Linked DNA regions of Pelodiscus sinensis. The protein of the gene in region 3 interacts with the protein of the main gene of each other region in a pairwise test. Links are inferred from orthologs where the notes say so. Each region holds a gene or a part of one and is shown on either strand. Other genes may lie near its edges.

Evidence for each region.
Region 1: the proteins of ARFIP2 (region 3) and ARF3 interact in a two-hybrid assay, tested with the Homo sapiens proteins (2 studies listed by BioGRID and IntAct). The link is inferred for Pelodiscus sinensis from reciprocal best matches to the Homo sapiens genes ARFIP2 and ARF3.
Region 2: the proteins of ARFIP2 (region 3) and MAL2 interact in binary tests that used the Homo sapiens proteins (3 or more experiments, as listed by UniProt). The two-hybrid records come from large-scale screens. The link is inferred for Pelodiscus sinensis from reciprocal best matches to the Homo sapiens genes ARFIP2 and MAL2.

The regions. Positions count from the first base shown.
Region 1 is NC_134729.1:5,045,616-5,053,622, reverse strand, and holds the start of ARF3 (ADP-ribosylation factor 3), read right to left. Parts: upstream 3,002-8,007; 5' UTR 2,862-3,001; intron 60-2,861; 5' UTR 1-59.
Region 2 is NC_134712.1:22,505,301-22,512,517, forward strand, and holds the start of MAL2 (protein MAL2), read right to left. Parts: upstream 3,002-7,217; 5' UTR 2,866-3,001; coding exon 2,734-2,865; intron 1-2,733. UniProt on the Homo sapiens protein: Member of the machinery of polarized transport. Required for the indirect transcytotic route at the step of the egress of the transcytosing cargo from perinuclear endosomes in order for it to travel to the apical surface via a raft-dependent pathway.
Region 3 is NW_027465814.1:176,993-184,466, forward strand, and holds the start of ARFIP2 (arfaptin-2), read right to left. Parts: upstream 3,005-7,474; 5' UTR 2,990-3,004; coding exon 2,750-2,989; intron 1-2,749. UniProt on the Homo sapiens protein: Plays a role in constitutive metalloproteinase (MMP) secretion from the trans Golgi network. May have important functions during vesicle biogenesis at certain cargo subdomains, which could be predominantly utilized by secreted MMPs, such as MMP7 and MMP2.

The DNA.
Region 1 (8,007 bases), on a different chromosome or scaffold from region 3:
AGTGCAGGGGCTCTGGGGCCGGATCACTTGCAGCGCACGCCTGGCGTCGAGGCCGGTTCCTGGGCAGCAGGAAGGGCAAGGCTGGCTGGCATCTGGTGCCCGCGGGGGACAACACCTCCCCGTGCAGCCGGCTGCTGGGGGCGCACACCCCAGAAGCTCAGCTCCATGGCAAGGTGGGTCTGGCCCTGAGTCCCAGCTCTATGCCAGCACAGACCTCCATGTGTTCAACAGCTGGTGCTGGCCCTCAGGATGCACCCCAGGTGGGCAGGTCTTGAACCCACAAACCTGGGGTCCCCGGGCCAATGCTTTAACCCCAGGCCACTCAAGAACCAACCCCACCTCCCTTCCTCCAGGGTGCCCCTTGTCCAGCCTTCCTAATGGGGCAGCTGGTGCTGGCCCTCAGGATGCACCCTAGGTGGGCGGGGCTCAAACCCACAAACCTGGGCATCCCCAGGCCAATGCCCTAACCCCTAGGCCACTCAAGAACCCGCCCCACCTCTCGGGCGCCCCTTATCCGGCCTTCCTAGTCGGGCAGCTGGTGATGGCTGGGGAGGGGAGGGGAGGTGGGGGGCTGCTGACCCACTGGCTCCAGGCTACCCCAGCCCAGCCCCGCAGCCTGGGGGGTAGGAAGACCTGCAGGCAACCTGTGAGACAGATCAGTCCAGAGCCCAGGGCAGGGCCACAGTCCCACAAGGGCCCTTTCTCCCTGCATCACAATACTGAAAGGCAGAGCTGGGGGTCGGCTGTGCCAGGCTGTGCTCAGCGCCCACCACGGCCAGCTGGATCGGCAGCCTTCACTCTGCCTCTATTGAGTGTTGGCCTCAAAGGCAATGGGCGCAGGGTCACAGCAGTGCTGCCAGCAAGGAACAGCACATGCAGGATGGGGGGGGGTTACAGTAGGGAAAGGCCCCCCCCTTCCATCACTGCATGCTGGCCAATCAAAACAGGCCTCCCCGCAGCACACAGACCTCAGCCCCCAGGAGAAGAGTCCAGACCAGCCATAACATGCTGCACAGAAGGGGAAACTGAGGCAAAGAGCCAGGGACTTGCCCAAGGCCAAGGAGTCAACAGAAGAATTCCCAAACTCCTGACTCCACTTCCCTCCCAGAGCTGGGAACAGAACCCAGGAGTCCTGGCTCTCAGCTCCCCCCATACTAGCCAGTAGGCCTTTCTGTGGTCCCTGCACAAGGGACGGGAGCACCATGGCCTCTCATTCTTCCAACCCTTTTTCCTTGGGTCGGTGTTTTAGGCCGCTCCCTGCCTCGGCGTAGCAGCACTCCCTGCCCACCACACCCTCCTCTGGCTCCCTCAGATCCCAGTGCCCCCCTGCCAGCCATCTGATCCTTCCCCACGGCAGCCTGCCTGCATCTCCAGCTGACATGCTGCCCTGCCAGGGCCCCCTCAGACTTTCCCTGGGCCCGAATGCCCTGGCCCCAGGAGCTCCAAGCCACCCCACATTAAGGCAAGGCCCAGGCTGGAAAATGGCTAATGGTAAGGACACTGGTCCTTGCCTTCCACCCCCAACTCTTTACATGGAATAATGGGGGGGGGGGGCAGGAAAACCCATAGGGGGGGTATTTTCTGGTCAGCATGGGGGCAAGAGCACAGGTCCCTCAGCCTCCTCATTGGCCCCCCTGCCTGGGGAAGATGGGCCCCCCAGGGAGAAAGGCAGCCCCTGAGCTGAGGGGGGCACACTCAAGAGAACGGGGCAGCATCTAGTCCCCCAAAAATAGCTCCCCCCAGCAGCAGGGGTGAGTCCTGCTGCCCCCATTGCGTGCTGGGCTCCTTGCTCTGGCTGAAGGGCACAGCCCCAGCCACCCCACTCTGGATGGCACCCTGGGGTCCTGCCCCTCTGCTGGATCCGAGACATCCCCATTCTCAGGGCTCCCTACTGGCAACGACATGGGCAGGCCTGCTGCCCCCCCACCCTGCTTCAGACTCCCATCTTCCCCGCCGAGTAATAGACCCGACTGACGTGTGTGCACCCCAGACGACCTGCCCCCCCCGCACGCTCAGCCCTGCCTCCCCATCCCACTCAGGGTGCTCCCTGGTTCGGGCAGGGCCATTGCAGCGCCTGCCCTGCTCCCCCCCCAGGACGGGCCCATTGCAGCGCCTGCCCTGCTCCCCCCCCAGTACGGGCCCATTGCCGCGCCTGCCCTGCTCCCCCCCCGTACGGGCCCATTGCCGCGCCTGCCCTGCTCCCCCCCCATACGGGCCCATTGCAGCGCCTGCCCTGCTCCCCCCCCCCGTACGGGCCCATTGCAGCGCCTGCCCTGCTCCCCCCCCAGTACGGGCCCATTGCAGCGCCTGCCCTGCTCCCCCCCCCCCGTACGGGCCCATTGCCGCGCCTGCCCTGCTCCCCCCCCCGTACGGGCCCATTGCAGCGCCTGCCCTGCTCCTCCCCCCCCGTACGGGCCCATTGCAGCGCCTGCCCTGCTCCCCCCCCCGTACGGGCCCATTGCAGCGCCTGCCCTGCTCCCCCCCCCCGTACGGGCCCATTGCAGCGCCTGCCCTGCTCCCCCCCCCCCCGTACGGGCCCATTGCAGCGCCTGCCCTGCTCCTCCCCCCCCGTACGGGCCCATTGCAGCGCCTGCCCTGCTCCCCCCCCCGTACGGGCCCATTGCAGCGCCTGCCCTGCTCCCCCCCCCCCGTACGGGCCCATTGCAGCGCCTGCCCTGCTCCCCCCCCCGTACGGGCCCATTGCAGCGCCTGCCCTGCTCCTCCCCCCCCGTACGGGCCCATTGCAGCGCCTGCCCTGCTCCCCCCCCCGTACGGGCCCATTGCAGCGCCTGCCCTGCCCCCCCCCCCCCCGTACGGGCCCATTGCAGCGCCTGCCCCCCCCCGACGCGCCCCGCGCCTACCTGCTCCGGCTCGGGCTCTTCCTCCCGCCCCCTCCTCCCCAGCTGACTCTGCACCCAGCCCCCGCCGGCCGGAAGCAGCAAGCCCAGGGCACGCACCAGCGATCTCGCGAGAGCTTCGCCTGGCCCTGGGGAGCCGGGGGGGGGGCAGCAAACCTCGCGACATCAGAGCCGGTCGCTATGGCAACAGTTGCAATGCATGGGGGGGTTGCACCTGTAGGGGAGGGGACGTGCAAGGGAGGACTGCATGGGGGTGTATTAGGGGACCTAAGGGTGTGAAGTATTGGGGGGGGCGCTGCGTGCCTGGGGGGGCGGGAGGCTCGACGCCGGTGGATGATGCGTGGGGGGGGGGTCACATCAGCGTGGGGGTGGAACACGCGGGGGCTGGAGCGTGAGTAGGGAGGCTGAAATGCATGGAGGGCTCCTATGGCGATGGTGAGGCTGAAATGCGAGGTCTGCAAGGGGGAGCACGTTGTATTAATGGGGGGCTGTGGTGCATGAGCAGGCTGTGTGCGTGGAGATCATGCTACATGAGCGGGGAGGGCTGTGCATGGGGGCTGTGGTGCATGAGCAGGCTGTGTGCATGGAGATCATGCTACATGAGCGGGGAGGGCTGTGCATGGGGGCTGTGGTGCATGAGCAGGCTGTGTGCGTGGAGATCATGCTACATGAGCGGGGAGGGCTGTGCATGGGGGCTGTGGTGCATGAGCAGGCTGTGTGCATGGAGATCATGCTACATGAGCGGGGGCTGTGCATGGGGGCTGTGGTGCATGAGCAGGCTGTGTGCATGGAGATCATGCTACATGAGCGGGGAGGGCAGTGCATGGGGGCTGTGGTGCATGAGCAGGCTGTGTGCGTGGAGATCATGCTACATGAGCGGGGAGGGCAGTGCATGGGGGCTGTGGTGCATGAGCAGGCTGTGTGCGTGGAGATCATGCTACATGAGCGGGGAGGGCTGTGCATGGGGGCTGTGGTGCATGAGCAGGCTGTGTGCGTGGAGATCATGCTACATGAGCGGGGAGGGCTGTGCATGGGGGCTGTGGTGCATGAGCAGGCTGTGTGCATGGAGATCATGCTACATGAGCGGGGAGGGCTGTGCATGGGGGCTGTGGTGCATGAGCAGGCTGTGTGCATGGAGATCATGCTACATGAGCGGGGGCTGTGCATGGGGGCTGTGGTGCATGAGCAGGCTGTGTGCGTGGAGATCATGCTACATGAGCGGGGAGGGCAGTGCATGGGGGCTGTGGTGCATGAGCAGGCTGTGTGCATGGAGATCATGCTACATGAGCGGGGACTGTGCATGGGGGCTGTGGTGCATGAGCAGGCTGTGTGCGTGGAGATCATGCTACATGAGCGGGGGCTGTGCATGGGGGCTGTGGTGCATGAGCAGGCTGTGTGCATGGGGGTCATGCTGCATTAGCGGGAGTGAAGTGCATGGAGAGAGGTGCAATGCAATAGGAGCTGGTTGCCCTGCTGTGTGAGTAAGGGATGAGGCCTGGCCCCATCGCTACTTGCAGAAGGCAGGACCCCACCCCGGGGAGGTAGCTTGCCCCAGCTTATTTTAACAGGCTCCATGAGGCACTGCAGAGCCTCCTGCAGGGTCCAACACACCGCAGCCAGAGGGACATGTAGGAGCTGCACTCCTCTGGCTCTCCTTGGGTGCTGCCTGCTGGGGGTCCCTCTGGAGCAGCCAGGAGGTGCTGCTGCATTGCTAGGGACAGTGTGGCCTAGTGGCTAGGGAGTTGGACTGAGATGCTGGATTCTATTCCCCTTTCTGCTGGGAGGCCTGGAGTAAGCACCAGTTCCTTCTCTGTGCCTCAGTTTCCCCACCTGTGGAAGAGCTAGATGAGAGCTGGGTATTGATTATTAGTCCCAGCCTTACACTCAGCCCAGCCACTTGGACCTGCCAGGTGAGTAGGGTCATGGGAGGGAGCCCATCCCCCTGTTCTCAGAGCTGTCCCCTTCTCTGGCTCTGTGACCCTTCTGCTCCTGGGCTGGCCAGAAGGCAGTGAACTCACCCCTCGCCATGGCAGGGCTGTTGAATGGCTAAAGAGCATTACTGGGGCTAGAACCCCTGGGTTCTCTCCCCAGCATGGGGAGGAGAGTGGGGCTAGTGGGTTAGAGCAGGGGTGGCTGGGGGCCAGGACTCCTTGGTCCTAGTCTCAGCTCTGCCATGGACTGATCGACTGGATTGCAGTGGGAGTGGGGCACATCTCCCTCGTGCAGTGGCTCCGAGCGTGCCCCTGCACCCCATGGGTGTTGGGGAGTGCGCTGTGCCGCTCTCCCCCAGCAGGTGGCGCCTTTCGCCTGGCTGTGATATAGACCCATCAGAGGTCATCAAGTCCAGGTCCCCGCCCAAGGCAGGACCAACCCAACTCAGTGTTCCCAGCCAGGGCTGTGTCAAGCCGAGACTTAAACACCTCTAGGAATGGAGATTCCGCCACTTCCCTAGGGAACCCCTCCCAGTGCTTCCCCACCCTCCTAGGGAAATAGCTTTTCCTAAAATCCAAACTAGACCTCCCCCTCTGCCACTTGAGACCATTGCTCCTCATACTGTCACCTGTCACCACTGAGAACAGCCTCTCTCCATCCTCTTTGGACCCCCTTCAGGAAGTTGAAGGCTGCTCTCAAATCCCCCCTCACTCTTCTCTTCTGTAGTATCAATTAGGGATGTTAAATATCGGCTAATTGAATAATCGAGCAACCTCATGAATTCTTATCAGTCGACTGTTTTATAGTCCCCGGAGGCAGGGCCAGCAGCTGGTACGCTCTGGCCTCACTCCTTAGGAGCCCTCTGCCCCTCTGATACAGAGGCAGCAGTGCAGGGTGCCAGGCAGGAGCTGGTCCGCACAGGGAGCCGTTTTAAAAACCAGCTCCCCTCGCCGACCAGCTGCCTGTTGCCTTGCACTGCTGCCTCTGATAAAGAGGCAGCAACGCAGGGTGGCAGCAGCCTCTGTCTAGGGTGAGTCTGAGCTCCCGAATCCAGTGCAAGCCAGAACTGAGCTGGACTGCCTGCCCGCCTGGCTTCTAATACACTTTAAATGGAGATCTGCAGCAGGGGTAGGTCTTGGACCCGTTTCAAACCAGGACTGAGCCAGATTGCCAGCCAGCGTGCTAAAATATTTACTGGCAAGTGGGGGGGCGGGGAATGCGTGTAGCCTATAGCATTAACCTATCAGCTTTTGCTCATCAGTTAATCGACTATACTATTACATCCCTAGTCTAAATAAGCCCAAATCCCTCAGCCTGTCCTTGTCGGTCACGTGCTCCAGCCCCCTCATCATCTTCATTGCCTGCTTCTGAGCTCTATCCACTGTCTCCACATCCTAACATGAACTTAGCCCTGGGAGCTGGGCTTGGCTACCTCTGCCCATGGGCAGCCGCCGAGTTTGAACCATGTGGAGGCTTGTCTTTCCACTGGCCAGGACTGCTCACACGGGAGATGGGGGAGACCCAGGGCGCTGGGGCTGTTGCAGAGCAAGGGGTGTGCAGCAGCCTGGGAATCGGGGTTCCTGGGTGCCCTTCTTCCCTGATACATGAGTGACTGCACACAGAATCCCACTTACTGTATGTGTGCACACAGCACCGTGCTCACTGGACACACTGGACACACACAGCCGTGCTCACCGGACATGTGTGCAAACAGCTCGGCACCCTGTACACACACACACACATACAGCTGTGCGCACTGTATACACACATAGAGACCCATGCTCACTGTACATATGCATACATATGCACACATTGTACACAGACAGCATTGTTCACTGTTCCTGTGTGCACACAGCCTGGCACACTGTACACACACACACACACAAAGCCATGCTCCCTGTATATGTGCCTACATACAGCCTTGCGAGCTGTATGTACACTCACAGAGCCCTGCTCATGGAGTACATGTGCACGCACGCTGTACACCCCTCCCTCCCCCGCCCAGTGGCTCCACTGCCCTGCTGTGTGGCTGGAGGCTGGGCTGGGCTGCAGGGCAGGCTGAGGTCAGGGCAGGGCCTGTGTGTTTGTAGCGTGAGTCAGTGTGCGACTCCCAGGGAGTGTCCTCACTCCACTGCTAGCAGAGAAGGATGCTGGCGAGTGAGGCATCCCTAGGGCAGGCTCAGCCTCCTATTGACGCCCCTCAGCCCGGCTCCAGTGAGGCTGGTGAGGGGGGCACGGGAAGGCATGTCCCAGCAGCAGGGGCTGAGCCCCCCAAACCTCATTGCACATGGGGGTTCAGCCTCATGTCAGGGCATCAAGGTGGGGCTCTTCCCAGCCCCCCATGGCTTCCACACTCCGTGACCCACCATGGATATGCCCTGCCCCCTTGTGCCCTGCTCACCTGCCCCAGAATCCCAGCACGCTTTCTATCAGGGTCTCTGCCCTCGGGCCAGCCTATGCGCTGGGGGCCCCCTCACTCGGGGTCCTGGATCCCAGGAGCGCCCATCTAATCTGCTTCCCAGGGCCTGCTGCTCTGGGGAACTCCACAGCGGTCAGCTCTGGAACCAGTGGCCCAGAGGGGAGGCCCCTGCTCTACCGGGGAGGGGGGGTTTGCTTCGTTCCCCGTGAAGGAGGGCATCTATCCCTGCTGACTGCTCGCCCTCTCCATGCACAACAGCCTGACCCCACCTTGCTGTGCTCCCCTCTAACGCCCAGTGGCTGTGAGTTCCACTGGTCACCTGCACACGGCGCCAATGGCAGTCAGTTAGGTCGCAATTGCATTCGCTGCCCTGCAGTGCTGCCGACGGGAGGCTGTGCAGGGAACCCAGAGCACTTGGGAGGGGGGCGGGTCAGTGGGCAGGATGGCGGCCCTCCCTGGGCCAATGGCTCTGGTTAATTTGGTGCCTGTAGCTGCAGGCACCTCCTGGGAACTTTCATCTTTGCCCCTGGTTGGGGGGAGGGGAGGCACCAACACTGGTTGTCCTGCCTGTAGGTGGGCAGGGAGGCTGCAGCAAGGAATGCAAAGCAGCAAGGCTGGTTGCCAAAGGGTGCCTGCAGCCCTGTGTCCTGTCCTGCACTGGGCTGGGACTGCCTCTGCCCCCTGGTGCTTTTGGCTCAGACTGGCTCCTCTGGGTCATGGCACCCAAAAGCCACTAGGGGAGGGGGGAGAGTGTGTCCCTTGAGCTGCCAGCCAGGAGCCACCTGTTCTCAGGGTCAG
Region 2 (7,217 bases), on a different chromosome or scaffold from region 3:
GCTGGAGTACTGTGTCCAGTTCTGGGCGCCACATTTCAAGAAAGATGTGGAGAAATTGGAAAGGGTACAGAGAAGAGCGACAAGAATGATTAAAGGTTTAGAGAACATGACCTATGAAGCCAGGCTTCATGAACTGGGCTTGTTTAGTTTGGAAAAAAGAAGATTAAGGGGGGACATGATAGCGGTTTTCAAATATCTAAAGGGGTGTCACAAGGAGGAAGGAGAAAATTTGTTCCTCTTGGTTTCTGAGGACAGGACAAGGAGTAATGGGCTTAAAGTGCAGCAGGGGAGGTTTAGATTGGATATTAGGAAAAAATTCCTAACTGTCAGGGCGGTCAAATATTGGAATAAATTGCCAAGGGAGGTGGTGGAATCTCCCTCTCTGGAGATATTTAAGAACAGGTTAGATAGACATCTGTCAGGGATGGTGTAGACGGAGCTTGGTCCTGCCTTGAGGGCGGGGGGCTGGACTCGATGACCTCTTGAGGTCCCTTCCAGTCCTATTATTCTATGATTCTATGATTAATGAAAAGATTATAAAAATTCATTTATCCTAAAATATAAATACATATGTATCTGTTGCAACTGGTATGTCAAAGATGTAAATGAGATTGAAATCTAAATCTTGTACTCATATATAGCTTTGTAATCTTCCAGCAGACACAGATATGAAATAATTGTAAATGTATAAACAGAATTTAATGTTTATGGCCAAAAGAGTAAAAGGCAACAAACAAAAGTAAAATATAGAAGACCAGCAAAGCTATGGTAAGCTGTTGAGTCATGAACATCAGATAATGAAGTATATAAGCCAAATTAATTTCATATTAAGATCTATGTAATTAGGAGCAGAATTTAGTCCTAAAAATTTAAGTTGCAGCACACCGATCTTCTCAATTATTTCAATCACAAACACAGATCTCTATAAAAGTGATGCTTGCTTTCTTGAAGCTTGTTCCTTTAATAAAGAAAGCCTTAACTTGATTGAAATAGAACTGAGCAGTGTTCACATTTATATTGAATTGCCATTTCCAGTTCCTCCTTCCAGCTCTCAAGGTATGAAGTAGAAGAAAAACATTTCAGACTGCGAGAACTACAACTTCAAAATAATGCTTGCCCAGTTTCTTCTAAATCTAGAACCTCAGACTCTATTTTCAGGAGATGTTGCCTGCAGTTAAGAGTATGTAGGTCTTCTTTGGTATACAGTATAGCAATGTGTGGATAAAATGAAGCTGATTATGTAAAAGTGCACTGTCGTCTCCCTGCACTCAGTATTCCCATGTGGATTAGTATTATCAGTCTTCAAATTAATTTCAAGGGCTTCTCTTCAGGTTGTATTTGTTGTGAGGAAACAGGTTCTCTCCATATTTAGGCTCAAAATATCCAGAGAAAAGACATTTAATGGATTGTAACAGCACAACTTTTTTTTCCAACATCCCACTGCTGAGACTGGTAGCAAGATTACTAACTGAAGTAATCAGTAACTATGATTGTACTCAGGCACCATATCAGAGAAAGCCTGGACTAGACTAGGAAAGTCAGCCCAGGTTACACAGGCTGGCAAATCCATCAATAAGTTAACTTTTTGGTGACTATTGATGTGGATTCCAGTCCTGCAACTGGATCCACCCCAGCAGATTCTTGGACCAGGGTGAAGGCCATATTGAACAAAAATCAAGGCCCCATGGGGAGGGGCAGGCACACCTATAGGGATCCATTTGAAGATTGGAGTCTAAGACAGTATTCAAATCTGTGACTAAGAAAAAATGCATTGTGGGTGAAATCCCGGACAGATTGAAATCAATGGGAATTTTGCTATTCACTTCAATGGGGCCAGCATTTCATCACCTCTGACCTGTAATCTCTAATCACGATAGTGATTCTGCAAACTCTTTCAATGCCAGCGAGGTTAAATATCCATGCTAGAGTTTGAGGGGCCCTCAAGACAAAAAACCACACACACACTCCGTACAGTTTTACTACCTCGGACTTCTGAATCTGATCTAAATTTGTGAGGATCAAGATCTTCTCGATATAAAACAAACTCACTCCATAATACAGGCCAAGTGTTCTTTCCCCCACCCCTCCGAAAATAAAACGGCTGCCAAGAGGCAGCTATGACAACCACTGAGTGGCAATCAGAACAGTGTTATTTCAGCACAGTTGTATGTTGGTCATGATCCCCCTTCTGGGGAAGCTTTGAGGCAGGAAAACAAGGATTAGGCAAGATGGAGGCATGGGGAAGGGCTCCCACTGAGCCTCCTCCCCCCATCCCCACCTACATCCCCCCCAGCCTGTTGCTATACCCGTATCCCCGGCGCATAAAGTTCAATGCTCCAGGTCTCCGGGCCGGGTCCTCCTTTGGGGAACAGAGGCCCGCTCTGGCTCTCCGGGCTCCCGGAGCAGAACCTCCTGATGCCGCCGCCACAAGCCGCTCCAGGGGCGGCTGCTGCACCTCTCCCACCTACAAAATGGCAGGTTAGCAGCGGGGACGGTGGCAGGGCTGCGGTGCCGCCTGCTCCGGCACGCCCCGCACCTCAGCCTGCAGCCCCGGGTCTGCATGCACCACACCGGCCGTGCGGCGCGGGGCACTGCACGCTCCTAGCCCGGCGCGGCGCCCTGGGCTCGGCGCAACAAGTGCTGGGCGCGGGGACGCAAGGCGGGAGAAGGAAGGGGAGCGAGCGGGGGATCCCAGCCAGCCCACCCCGAGCAGCCCCCAGCCCTGCCACTCACGATCTCCAGGCAGATGAAGGCGCCCGAGTAGGTGCGCAGGATGTCCAAGCCCGCGGGCAGCGTGACCCGGGGCGCGGGGAAGTAGGCGGTGGGGTTGGGGGGCGGCGGCATGGAGCCCCCCCTGGCCGACATGCTGGCGCGGAGTGAGCCGAGCCCGGCTGGCCCTGACGTGGCCGCAGGTTGGGGGCGGGGGAAGGGGCGGCTCAGCGGCGCCCAGAGCAGGTGCAGGAAGCGTGTGGGCAACACCCAGCCGCCGGCCCGGCCCCTGCGCCGCCCCGCCCCGCAAGCGCCGGGCGGCGACGGCCCCGGTTCCGTGGGCTGCAGCCGAGCAAACCCCCTTCTCGTGGCCACTGGGTGGACCCAGTGTGACCCACACACCTGCTGAGTTCGGGTCACTGCCCCATGTAGCGACCCTTAGGCCACAGCGCTAGAGGGAGAGGATGAGTTTCCTGTTGCCTTCGCTGAGAGCCGCCTGGCTTTTGGCTCCAGCTGTAGTCCCAGCTTTGGTTCTAGCTCAGAGCCAAACATTTGCCCACCACCCCCTTGGCGTGTTCCCGAATCCCAGCCCAGGGCTAGTCCCCCACAGTCCCTGGTATTCATGAGACTGGCCCTGAATTGGGAGTCTCTTGGGGCTGTGGTACTGTGGGGAACTCGCCCGGGGTTGGGATTTGGGAACACCCTGGATTGGGGAATTGAAGGAGACAGTCTGTGTAGGGAATCATGCCAGAGGGTTTCCTCTAATCGTTTCCATCCGTGTGTGGAATAAATGTTTGTTGTGTGCCACCAGGAGAAACACAAACCTAGCTGTAAAGTCAGCTGAGCAGCATTGGCATCTCCCCTGAGCATTTGTGCAGGTGCACAGCTTACAGGGAACACTAGTCTGCACCTAGACCCTATCTGCAAACCATACTCCTACCCACTTCCCACCTCTGGAGCACTCCAAATCCACCTTTACTTTTCAATCTCTCAGTGGGTGTTCAGATACAGAGCACATACAGAGAATGTGTGTCCCATTGGTATGATGCAGGTTTGTTATCTTTCTGCAGAAGAAGCAGATAAGGAGGCTGATTAGGCCTCTCTGATTTGCACTTCTCCCAGTTTATACTGTATATCTGTGTAGGATCCTGACTAGTCCTTTCTCCCTGGGGGCTTTTGATCCCTCATTTTCAAAGGAACCAAATAGTTTTGTTCCTGGTGTGGATATGGTTGTTCAACCAAAATGTGATGCCTCACAAATGTCAGATTTTTAAAAAGCAAGACCTTGATTCTTCAGATCCAGATGCTGGCTTTCATCTGCTTTGTAGCTTCTTTCTAGCTTTTCATGCTCTGGTAGTTTTTTTTCTCTTGGCAAGGCTATTTAGTACAGGGGGTGTGGCTTTAATATGTGCAGCAAGACTGACATCAGGATTCATAAACCTAATTGTTCTTATTTTTCTTTTTTAACCTGCTGCTAGTTAATGATAAACTAGCACTCAATACATTCCAGCTCAGATGCATGATTATATTCCCATGGAGGTGTTAATAGTGTTAATGTTGTAATGAATATTTTAGGGTTGAAATAAAAACCTAGTTTTATAAACCTATGGCTTATGGTGGTGTCAAAAAATAGCGACTCTAGCTTCCAGTTTGAAGGATGTTCTTTCTTTAATAAATGTCAGAATGCTTTGAATGACTAATGGTATTGCCAAATCCCAGCATTCAAAGCTCATGGGTCAGGCTGCCAAAATCATGAGATTTAAAAATAATTTGGGATTCTTTTTATTTACCTTCTAGTTACAGAGACTTTAGGATTCAGGGATTCAAGCCTTATCTCTGCAACTGCAAATGCTTAGAAGTCTACTTTTTAAAAAGTCATCAAACCAAAACTGAGACTGTAGTGCAATCCCATGACTCTTCGAGTTGAAGTTTTTAAGAAAAACATCAAGTATCACAAGATTTATGAAGAAACAATGAGGTGTCAACATTAAAGGCAGAGACTTTCTTTAGATTTCTTTACTTTATAACATGCAGTGTGTTTCCCATACAAAGTACAATAAAATTGTATACATACTTTAGTAACATCCAAGTTTAGAAAAGTATAGCAGGACAAAAAAATGTCACTTGAGTTCCAATAGATGAAAATGTTGCTAATGAGAGATCAGACTTGTAGCCTGAAATACATCTGGAAACATCTGCAGTTATCACACCATTTATAATAAACTTTATTTTCCCATTTCATTTTATTGAAACAATTTCACTTTTCACATATAAACAATTTTTTTTCTTGTTGTCCACATTCAGGCAGATTTCCTTCCTACCCTGACTCAATGCCACTCCAGAAGCAGCTGGCACATTCCCATGGCCCCTGGGGATGGAGTTGCTATGTGTTGCTTCCACCCCATCTCTGCAGCTCCTATTGGCTGGACAGCTTGGTCAATAGGAGCTGCACCCAACCCCCTGTCCCAGCCTACAGACTATACTCTGCACTCAAACTCCCTCCCAGAGCCCATACTCCCTCCCTCTGCCCCAGCCTGATGAAAGTGAATGAGGGTGGGGAAAAGAAAGTGATGGAGGGAAGGGGGGATAGAGTGAGCCGGGGGAAGGGATTCAGACAATGAGTAAGACAGGAATGTGGCATCAGGAGAAGGGCAAGGGTGGGGCAAGGGTCTTTGAAGTTGCACAATTGCACAGTGTGCAACCCTACCATGTGGGCAGGTGGAAGAGCTGATCATGCTGAAAGAGTGCACCCAGCAGTGTAGCTAGCAGCTCGTTGGTCACCAGTCAATGCAGGTGCGGCACCAGCTTGTGCAGGCACAGCAGTGCCCAGGTGTCAGGCAGTCCATGTTTGTGCAGGCATAGTTTGTGTAAGTGTGGGGCCCATTGACTGTTCTGCCCTGGGGCCTGGAATTGCTGTCAGCAGGCCTGCCTGTGCATTCCAATGTGGGAAGTTCATTGTTCCATAGGACAGGGAATGGAGAGAGAATAGAGCTAGTGGTCATCAATTGCTCTCTTGATGCTTTCTCAGGCCATATCTCCACACTACAAAATTTTGTTGATATATTGCTACCACAGATATGAAATTGCATTTGTGTGTGCCCATCTGGTCCATTGTGTTGGTTGTGCATGTCCTCACTAGAAGGACTTGTATCAATTGTAGTGAAGATGTAGGGAAGATGGTGTTACTAAACTGGCATAGAGAGTCACTTATGTTGACAAGAGGCAAATTTAAGTGATGACATTTCCACATGGACCAGACTGTGTAGTGTAGACCAAGCATCAGGATCATCTTTCAATGAGGCGTCAAGCATCTTTCCTAAACAGGCACTGTCTAAAGTGCAATATGAGAAGATGCCATGGGCCAGTTTAGATGTGTTCATTAAGCAACACAAAATGGAGTCTACACTCTGATACCAAATATCCCACTCTGTCATAATGCAACTCAGAACTCCCATTGAATTTGGGCAGAGGTGACAGCTAATACAGCATACCAGCGAGAAGTGGCTGCCAGTACCAGTCCATACACAGCTAGCATTAAAGTGCTGTAGCTGCAGCCAACAATGAGGGCAAGGACAAGGGCTGGTGAGTGCAGGAGTCAAGGTAGGGATAAGGGGCTTATGGCAGGTGTAGGTGTGCAGGAGTCAGGGTAGGGGATGGTGTGTGTGTGTGAGAGAGCCTCAGGATGAGGTTGGGGATGTGTTTGGGAGTTCAGGGCTGGGAGTGCAGCCACTGTATTGCGTGACTGCTGGATCCCTGGGGCACTGGGGGCCCTGTTGCCCGAGCACTGTGGCTAGCTGGGGACCATGCAGCCCAAGCCCTGGAGCTCATGCCTGTGTGTGCTGTGGCCAACAGTCTCTTACTGGTGTGCTGCACTGGCTTACTTTCACCTCTGCCATCACGGCAGGTTTATGGAAATAAATGTTGTGTGGTCTGGAAGGATCTAGGAGTCTAGCATATTTTGGAACTAATCTCTGTTTAAGTTACTGGACAGTTTGCCCCAGGAACACTATATAGGGTGTGTCTACACTGCACCGTAACTCGAAATAAGATATTTCGATGCTATTTTGGAATAGCTTATTTTGTCATTTGGCATCATCTACACAGAGCCAAATTTCAAAATAAAACACTATTCTGAAACATCACTAACTTGAGGCTTACAGGGATGTCGGAATAGTGAGCCCGAAATAACGGCTTGCTGTGAAGATGCAGGATAGCTATTTCAGGATACTCCGGAATCCCAAAATAGCATTGCAGTGTAGACATACCCTATGAAAATTACTAGTATGACCGTTGCTAAAGAACTGGTATCAACTCCTTATTAATTAAATTTTAAAGGGTTTTATTATAAACAATTATGTAAGAAACAGAAATGAACCATCAACTGAAACAAAAGTGAAAACAGTTTTTAAGCATGAAACAATAATTAAAAATCAATTATCTCTAATTCTAAAAGAATGCTTTCTTTTGACCAGCAGTGAACCCAGAGGCATAGCAAAGCCTGCCTCCCT
Region 3 (7,474 bases):
GACAGCCCCCCCCGCTGCCCCTTGGGACAGCCTCCCTCCACCTCCCCTGCCCCTTGGGACAGCCCCCCACCCCGCTGCCCCATGCGACAGCCCCATCTGCCCCCATTCCCACCACTCGTTTGGGACTGTCACGTTACTGGAGTTTAAGGGAAGCAGCCAGGTCACTGCTGCACCCCTGGGGGGTGTTTGCCCCAAAAGTGGGTACAAAGGGGCCCTGTGAGGTGTCAAACAAAAGCTACTTTCTTCTGAGTCTGTGTCTGCTCTTCATAGATCGGTTCCTGTCCGTGTGGAGTTAGGAATATGGACTCTGTGTGGAGACGGGACGTTTCTCTGCATGTGCTTGAGCAATGGGCTCAGCCTATGGACATGCTAATTAGCAAGGCTCCAGGGACAAGGGGCCTCCTAAGTACCAGAGACCCACCTGGGAAGGAATCCAGGTGCCTGGCCAGAGACCATGTGACTGTCTCCAGCTTGGAAGAAGCCGGGCGGGGGGGAGATAAAGATGTCATGTGGCCGACTCCATCTTGGTCCTCAGATCTGCTCCTGACCCCAGATGCGGCCTCACAGGGAATCACGAGCCGGGAAGAACTGTGGGCCCATCTGGATACAGGATATACACCAAGGACTTCTAAGCCAGCAGCTGTAACATCTCTGCTAGAGCCTGCCTCGAGAACTGGGAGATTCACTGCATGTAACGTACGATCCTTTAACAACCTCACTCTCACGCTTCCTTTCTCTTAGGGGGTGTCTAGACTACAGGGTTTTGTCGACAAAACTAAACCTGCGTCTACACTAGCGCTGAGTTCTGTTGACATAACGTCGACAGAACTCAGCAGTGTTGTCGACGCTGGTAAACCTCATTTTACAAGGAATAACGCCTTTTGTCGCCAGAAGGCGCTACTGCATCTACACTGTCCTTTGCGTCCACACTGTTATGTTGACAAAGCAGCTTGCGTTGTCGACAGAACTGGATGTGTCTAGACGCTCTTTGTCGACAGAAGCTTTGTCGACAGTATCTGTCAACAAAACTTCTGTCGACAAAACCCTGTTGTCTAGACGTACCCTCACTGATAAACCTTTAGATGTTAGATGCTAAAGGATTGGCCCAGCGTGATTTGTGGGTAAGGTCCGGAGGGGAAATTGACCAGGGATCTGTGGCTGGTTTCTTGGAACCGGACAGAACTTGTTCGGGGTAGGTGGGATTGGGTGCTAGGACCCCTCACCTGTGTATGAGGCCCGGGGCCATCTGGGGCACGGATATTGCTGGGGTGTGGGAGGGGTTTTGCTCGGGAGGCTTCAGGCAGGCAGCTGGAGTGCTCTGGGGGACTGGTGTGTGGCCTGTTTGGGAAGGTCTCCAGTCTGGGGCTGTAAGGAGCCTCGAAGTTGAGCAATTTGCCCTGAGCGGACGCCCTCAGCTGTGCCCAGACCTGGCCACTGTGGCATCTTTATCTCCCTTCCTGGTCTCTTCCAAGCTGGAGATAGTCACATGGTCTCTGGCCAGGCACCTGGATTCCTTCCCAGGTGGGTCTCTGGTACTTAGGAGGCCCGTTGTCCCTGGAGCCTTGCTAATTAGCATGTCCATAGGTTGAGCCCATTGCTCAAGCACATGCAGAGAAACGTCCCGTCTCCACACAGAGTCCATATTCCTAACTCCACACGGACAGGAACCGATCTATGACGAGCAGACACAATGGTTTTTTTTAAATGACTGGAGATGCCTGTCTCCTAGAACTGGAAGGGGCCTTGAAGGTCACTGAGTCCAGTCCCCTGCCTGCACAGCAGGACCAAGTCCCATCTGTCAAGGGGTAGGCCCCCCGGGGGCTGCAGCCCCCCTCTACTGGCCCGTGTGTCGGTCCAGGCCCTTCTCTCAGGGCATATACAGTACCCAAAGTCCCAAAAGTCTCGGCCCCTCTCTCAGGGCAAATATGGTATTCCCAGAACTAGCCCCAAGTCCAGGCCCCCCTAGCAGGGTATATATGGTCTCTGGGGCCTAGCTCCGGAAAAAGCCCCCCCTGGCCGGCGTGTTTGCCGCGGAAAGGGGGGGCGGGGCACCCGGGGCCCCCCTCCACCGGGTCCCAGCAGGCAGGGTTCACGCTCCTGCCTGCTGGGTGGGGAATCCGGCAAGCCCTGGCCCCGGGCTGCTTCCTGCCGCTCTGGCTCTGGCTTCAGCTGCTGCAGGGACACCGGGGCGGCAGCCTGGGCCCCTTGCCGGGCTCCCCGCCTTTATATACGGCTCTGCTGGGAGCATGCCCAGTGGGGCCCTCCCAGCCCGGCAGCACGGGGCCTGCTGCCCCCCACGCCCCCCGGCAAAGGTTTGCCCCACAGACTCAGTAGAAAGTAGCTTTTGTTCGACACCTCACAGGGCCCCTTCGGACCAACTTTTGGGGCAAACCCCCCACCCCCCCCCATGGGCGCAGCAGTGACCTGGCTGCTTCCCTTATACTCCGCTAACGTGACCGGGACAGCCCCCCCATGTGACAGTCCCTCTGCCCCCCGGCCCCCCGCTCCTTCGGGAGAGCCCCCTCCGGCCCCCCCGCTCCTTCGGGAGAGCCCCCTCCGGCCCCCCGCTCCTTCGGGAGAGCCCCCTCCGGCCCCCCGCTCCTTCGGGAGAGCCCCCTCTGCCCCCCGCTCCTTTGAGAGAGCCCCCTCTGCCCCCCGCTCCTTTGAGAGAGCCCCCCTCCGCCCCCACTCCTTTGAGAGAGCCCCCCGTGCCCCCGTCTCCCCCCGCCTGACCGAGGTGGAAACTCACCTTGTATGTGTTGATGCCCCATTTCTTGACAATATCAAACTTCTCCACAGCAAGACCCCGAGCGGCCTCGTCCCCCGCTGCCGTGGGGCTGGGCTGGGGCTGGTGCAGCCCGGAGCCTGGAACACACAGAGCACGGGGCTGGCAGGTCGGGCAGCGTCTCCTCCCAGGCCTCTTCGCTGCAGGTCTGGGCGCCCTACAGTGCCACCCCACCAGCCCTTGGGGGACTGTCGCCAGCCGCATGGTGCTGCTGTGCCAATATCCCCCGCTCCCGGAGGCAGGGGATCCAGGGAGCAGCACGCTTGGGCACAGCCGCCTCCCGGTCCCCACCAGCGCCCTGGCTTGCAGAGTGGCTGTTGCTGGCACTCTGGCCGTGCCCGCCGGCCCAGCAGAAGAGGGGTGGCAGGGGAAGTGCCTCTGAGGGGTGACGGCCGCCAGGCCACAGTGCCCCCCACCGGCTGGAACAGTGGCACTTTGCCTATGCCCTGCAAGGCCCCCTCAGTGCCTCCACCCCACCCCACCCCACAGCAGGGCAGCGGCAGGAAGGCCCCGGCCTGCAGCAGACTCCCAGGGCCCGGCAGGGCTAAGCCAGCCATCTCCATCCTGCTCCCGGCAATGGGGCCTTGCCTTGGCTGTGTCCTGTGCTGCTCTGGTGGCGGCGCAAGGCCCAGACTCGGGCCTAGCACCATGTGCTGCTAAGGCAGCAGCGGGGGAACCTGCCCCCAGGAGGGACTCATCTGGGACACCGATACTCAGAGATGAGCAGGCTTCATATTCCTGCCCAAACTGCTCGGCCCTCCTATCCCTCTGGCTAGTCCCGCCCCCCCAGAGTGGCCAGGCCACTCAAAGTCTTGCTAAGGCCTCAGTGACATCACGTGGTGGGGAGTTCCACAGGCTAACCACGAACCATGGCAGTCTTCCCTTTCCATGCCACGGAGCATCCCCCGGTCCCTGTGCTGTGTGACCAACCAGCTGCCCTAATCTTCCTCTCCCCATGCCCCACATCAGGATTTACCCTCTTCTCTCAGTGACATCCTGTGGCAAGGAGTTCCACATGCTAACCACAGAGCATGACACAGTCTCCCCTTTTGTCCCTTTCCATGCCATGTAGCCAACCAAATGCCTCAATCTCCCTCCCGCCGGCATTGGGATGTATACACCATGCTCAGGGCATGTCTAGACTCCATCCCTCTGTCGCCAGAGGGGTGTGAATTAGACAGACCAACATTGCTAATGACGCAGGGATTCCAATCTCCCGCACATTGCCGGCAAAAAGCAGCAGTCTAGACAGGAATTGGTCAGCAAGGAAAGCTGTTTCCGACCGATCCAGCAAACGTCGTTGCACGAGGCATAAGGGATCGGTCAGAAAAGGCTTTCCTTGTCGACCGACCCACGTCTAGACTGCCACTTTTTACCGGCAAATTGCCATGTCGGCCATTTTTATTCTAATGAAGCGCGGGCTATTGAAATCCCCGCGCCATTAGCAATGTCAGTCTAATTCACACCCCTCTGGCGACAGGGACGGAGTCTAGACATACCCTCAGTGACACAGTGACATAGTGGGACTGTATTTGGGCCATATTCTGTTGGCCTTGCGGTGCTGTATGTGAGTCTGCTGTTCTGTAAGGACTCCAGGTGTGTGTGCGTGCCTCAGTTTCCCTGGGCACAGTGCACTGTCTGGATGAAGACGGGGAAGCTGGGCAGGACTCACTGGGGAGGTCCTGAGGGCCAGGGGAACAGTAGATAACACCCTGGGCCCGGGAAGGGAACAAAGGGGGGCAGGGCTGACACCAGGCTGGGGACTAGGGTCTGGGGTATGGGTCAGTCTTGGCTGGTTTTCAGGACGAGAGGGGGGTATTGAGCAGGAAGGGGGAACAGGGCCCAGTCTCCCCAGGCTGGGCTGTACTGAACGTTCCTGGCTCCTGTAACAAGTCCAGGCTACGCTGTGTCTGTGTCAATGTGTAACTCCTGTGTTCTACCTGCTGCGCATCGGGGTGCAGGGCTGGGGACTCCCCCACACTAGAGGACAGTGGTGGGATGGACTGTACCCCGTGGACGGAGCATCTGCCAGGAAGTCACTGGGCACAGGAGAAGGAAGGGGGCTTGCAAGAGCCAGGCACTGGAGGCCATGGGACGCAGTTCCAGGAAGTGGAGAGGAAAGCAGCTTAACCCAAGTGGGGCCACGGAGAAGGGGGTGCCCCCCCCCCAGAAGAGGTTCCCCTGTGGACTGTGGGAAGTGATCCCAGGAGAGGGCGGTCTAACTCTGCGGGGAAGGGGGGCCCAGGAAGGGTTCTTCCTGGGATCGTGGGGTGCTGCAGCATTGGCCGGTGTGTCTGCACCCGGGGAATGGAGGGAGATGGCCTACACCCGACTCCTGAAGGCAGGCGCCTTGGGGCTGTGCAAGGAGGGGGGCCTGCCCGTGGGGGAACTGACCAAGTCCCAGCTGATTGCCGGCTGGAAGAGAATGATCCTTCCAGGGGGCTGGATCCTGTCCCAGCAGGGAGCAGCCAGACACCCCTGGGGAGTTTCAGGCTCTGAGACAGGAGAAGGGGCAAGGAACTGCCTGACAGGCATGTGGGGCCCGCCAGGCCACGCTCCGCCAGCAGCAGTTCGTCCCAGGCAGGATCTCCTCGGCACAGCTGTGATGCCTGGAGATTGAGCTGCGGCTAAGGACGTGGAGGGCCGTGTGTCACGTTACTGGATTTTAAAGGGGTTCAGACAAGTCACGGCTGCGCCCACAGGGGGGTGTTTGCCCCAAAAGTCTATACAAAGGGGGCCACATGAGGTGTCATATGAAAGCTTATGTCCTACTGATTGTGTGTGTGCTGCTCCCGTACGTGGGATATCGGCGTGCGGCGCTACGGATACGCGCTCCGCGCTCCTGTACGTGGGATATCGGCGTGCGGCGCTACGGATACGCGCTCCCGTACGTGGGATATCGGCGTGCGGCGCTACGGATACGCGCTCCGCGCTCCCGTACGTGGGATATCTGTGTGCGGCGCTACGGATACGCGCTCCGCGCTCCCGTACGTGGGATATCTGTGTGCGGCGCTACGGATACGCGCTCCGCGCTCCTGTACGTGGGATATCGGCGTGCGGCGCTACGGATACGTGCTCCGCGCTCCCGTACGTGGGATATCGGCATGCGGCGCTACGGATACGCGCTCCGCGCTCCCGTACGTGGGATATCGGCGTGCGGCGCTACGGATACGCGCTCCGCGCTCCTGTACGTGGGATATCGGCGTGCGGCGCTACGGATACGCGCTCCGCGCTCCCGTACGTGGGATATCGGCATGCGGCGCTACGGATACGTACTCCGCGCTCCCGTACGTGGGATATCGGCATGCGGCGCTATGGATACGCGCTCCGCGCTCCCGTACGTGGGATATCTGTGTGTGGTGCTACGGATACGTGCTCCGCGCTCCCGTACGTGGGATATCGGCGTGCGGCACTACGGATACGCGCTCCACGCTCCCGTACGTGGGATATGGGCGTGCGGCGATACGGATACGCGCTCCGCGCTCCCGTACGTGGGATATCGGGTGTGCGGCGCTACGGATACGCGCTCCCGTACGTGGGATATCGGCGTGCGGCGCTATGGATACGCGCTCCGCGCTCCCGTACGTGGGATATCTGTGTGTGGCGCTACGGATACGTGCTCCGCGCTCCTGTACGTGGGATATCGGCGTGCGGCGCTACGGATACGCGCTCCACGCTCCCGTATGTGGGATATCGGCGTGCGGCGCTATGGATACGCGCTCCGCGCTCCCGTACGTGGGATATCTGTGTGCGGCGCTACGGATACGCGCTCCGCGCTCCCGTACGTGGGATATCTGTGTGTGGCGCTACGGATACGTGCTCTGTGCTCCCGTACGTGGGATATCTGTGTGTGGCGCTACGGATATGCGCCTCCGCACTCCCGTACGTGGGATATCGGCGTGCGGCGCTACAGATACGCGCTCCGTGCTCCCGTACGTGGGATATCTGTGTGTGGCGCTACGGATACGTGCTCTGCGCTCCCGTACGTGGGATATCTGTGTGTGGCGCTACAGATACGCGCTCCGCGCTCCGTACGTGGGATATCGGCATGCGGCGCTACGGATACGCGCTCTGTGCTCACTCTGGAGGGTTCTGCCGGGGACAGAGCAGTGGGCCAGGACTGTCCAGGCAGTGACTGTGCTAACTGGCACAGCCCCAGGGACAAGAGCTGATGAATTCCTTCATCAAGTAGTTGCTGAACCAACAAGGGGGGGGGGGTGCTATTTTAGATTTGGTGAGTAGTGAGGACCTCAGAGATGAAATGGTTGTAGGGGACAACCTTGGCTCGAGTGATCATGAGCTAATTCAGTTCAAATTAAATGGAAGGATAAACAAAAATAAATCTGAGACGAGGGTTTTTTATTTCAAAAGGGCTAACTTTAGTAAATTAAGGAAATTCGTTAGGGAAGTTGTTTGGACTAAAGAAATTATGGATTTTGGGGTGGAAGAGGCCTGGAATTATTTTAAGTTAAAGTTGCAGAAGCTGTCAGAAGCCTGTATCCCAAGAAAAGGGAAAAAATGTATAGGCAGGTGTGTTAGACCAAGCTGGGTGAGCAAGCATCTCAGGGAGGTGATTAAGAAAAAGCAGAAAGCATTAAGGAGTGCAAGATGGGAGGGATCAGTAAAGAAAGCTGCCTTATTGAGGTTAGAGCATGTAGGGACAAAGTGAGAAAGACTAAAAGTCAGGTA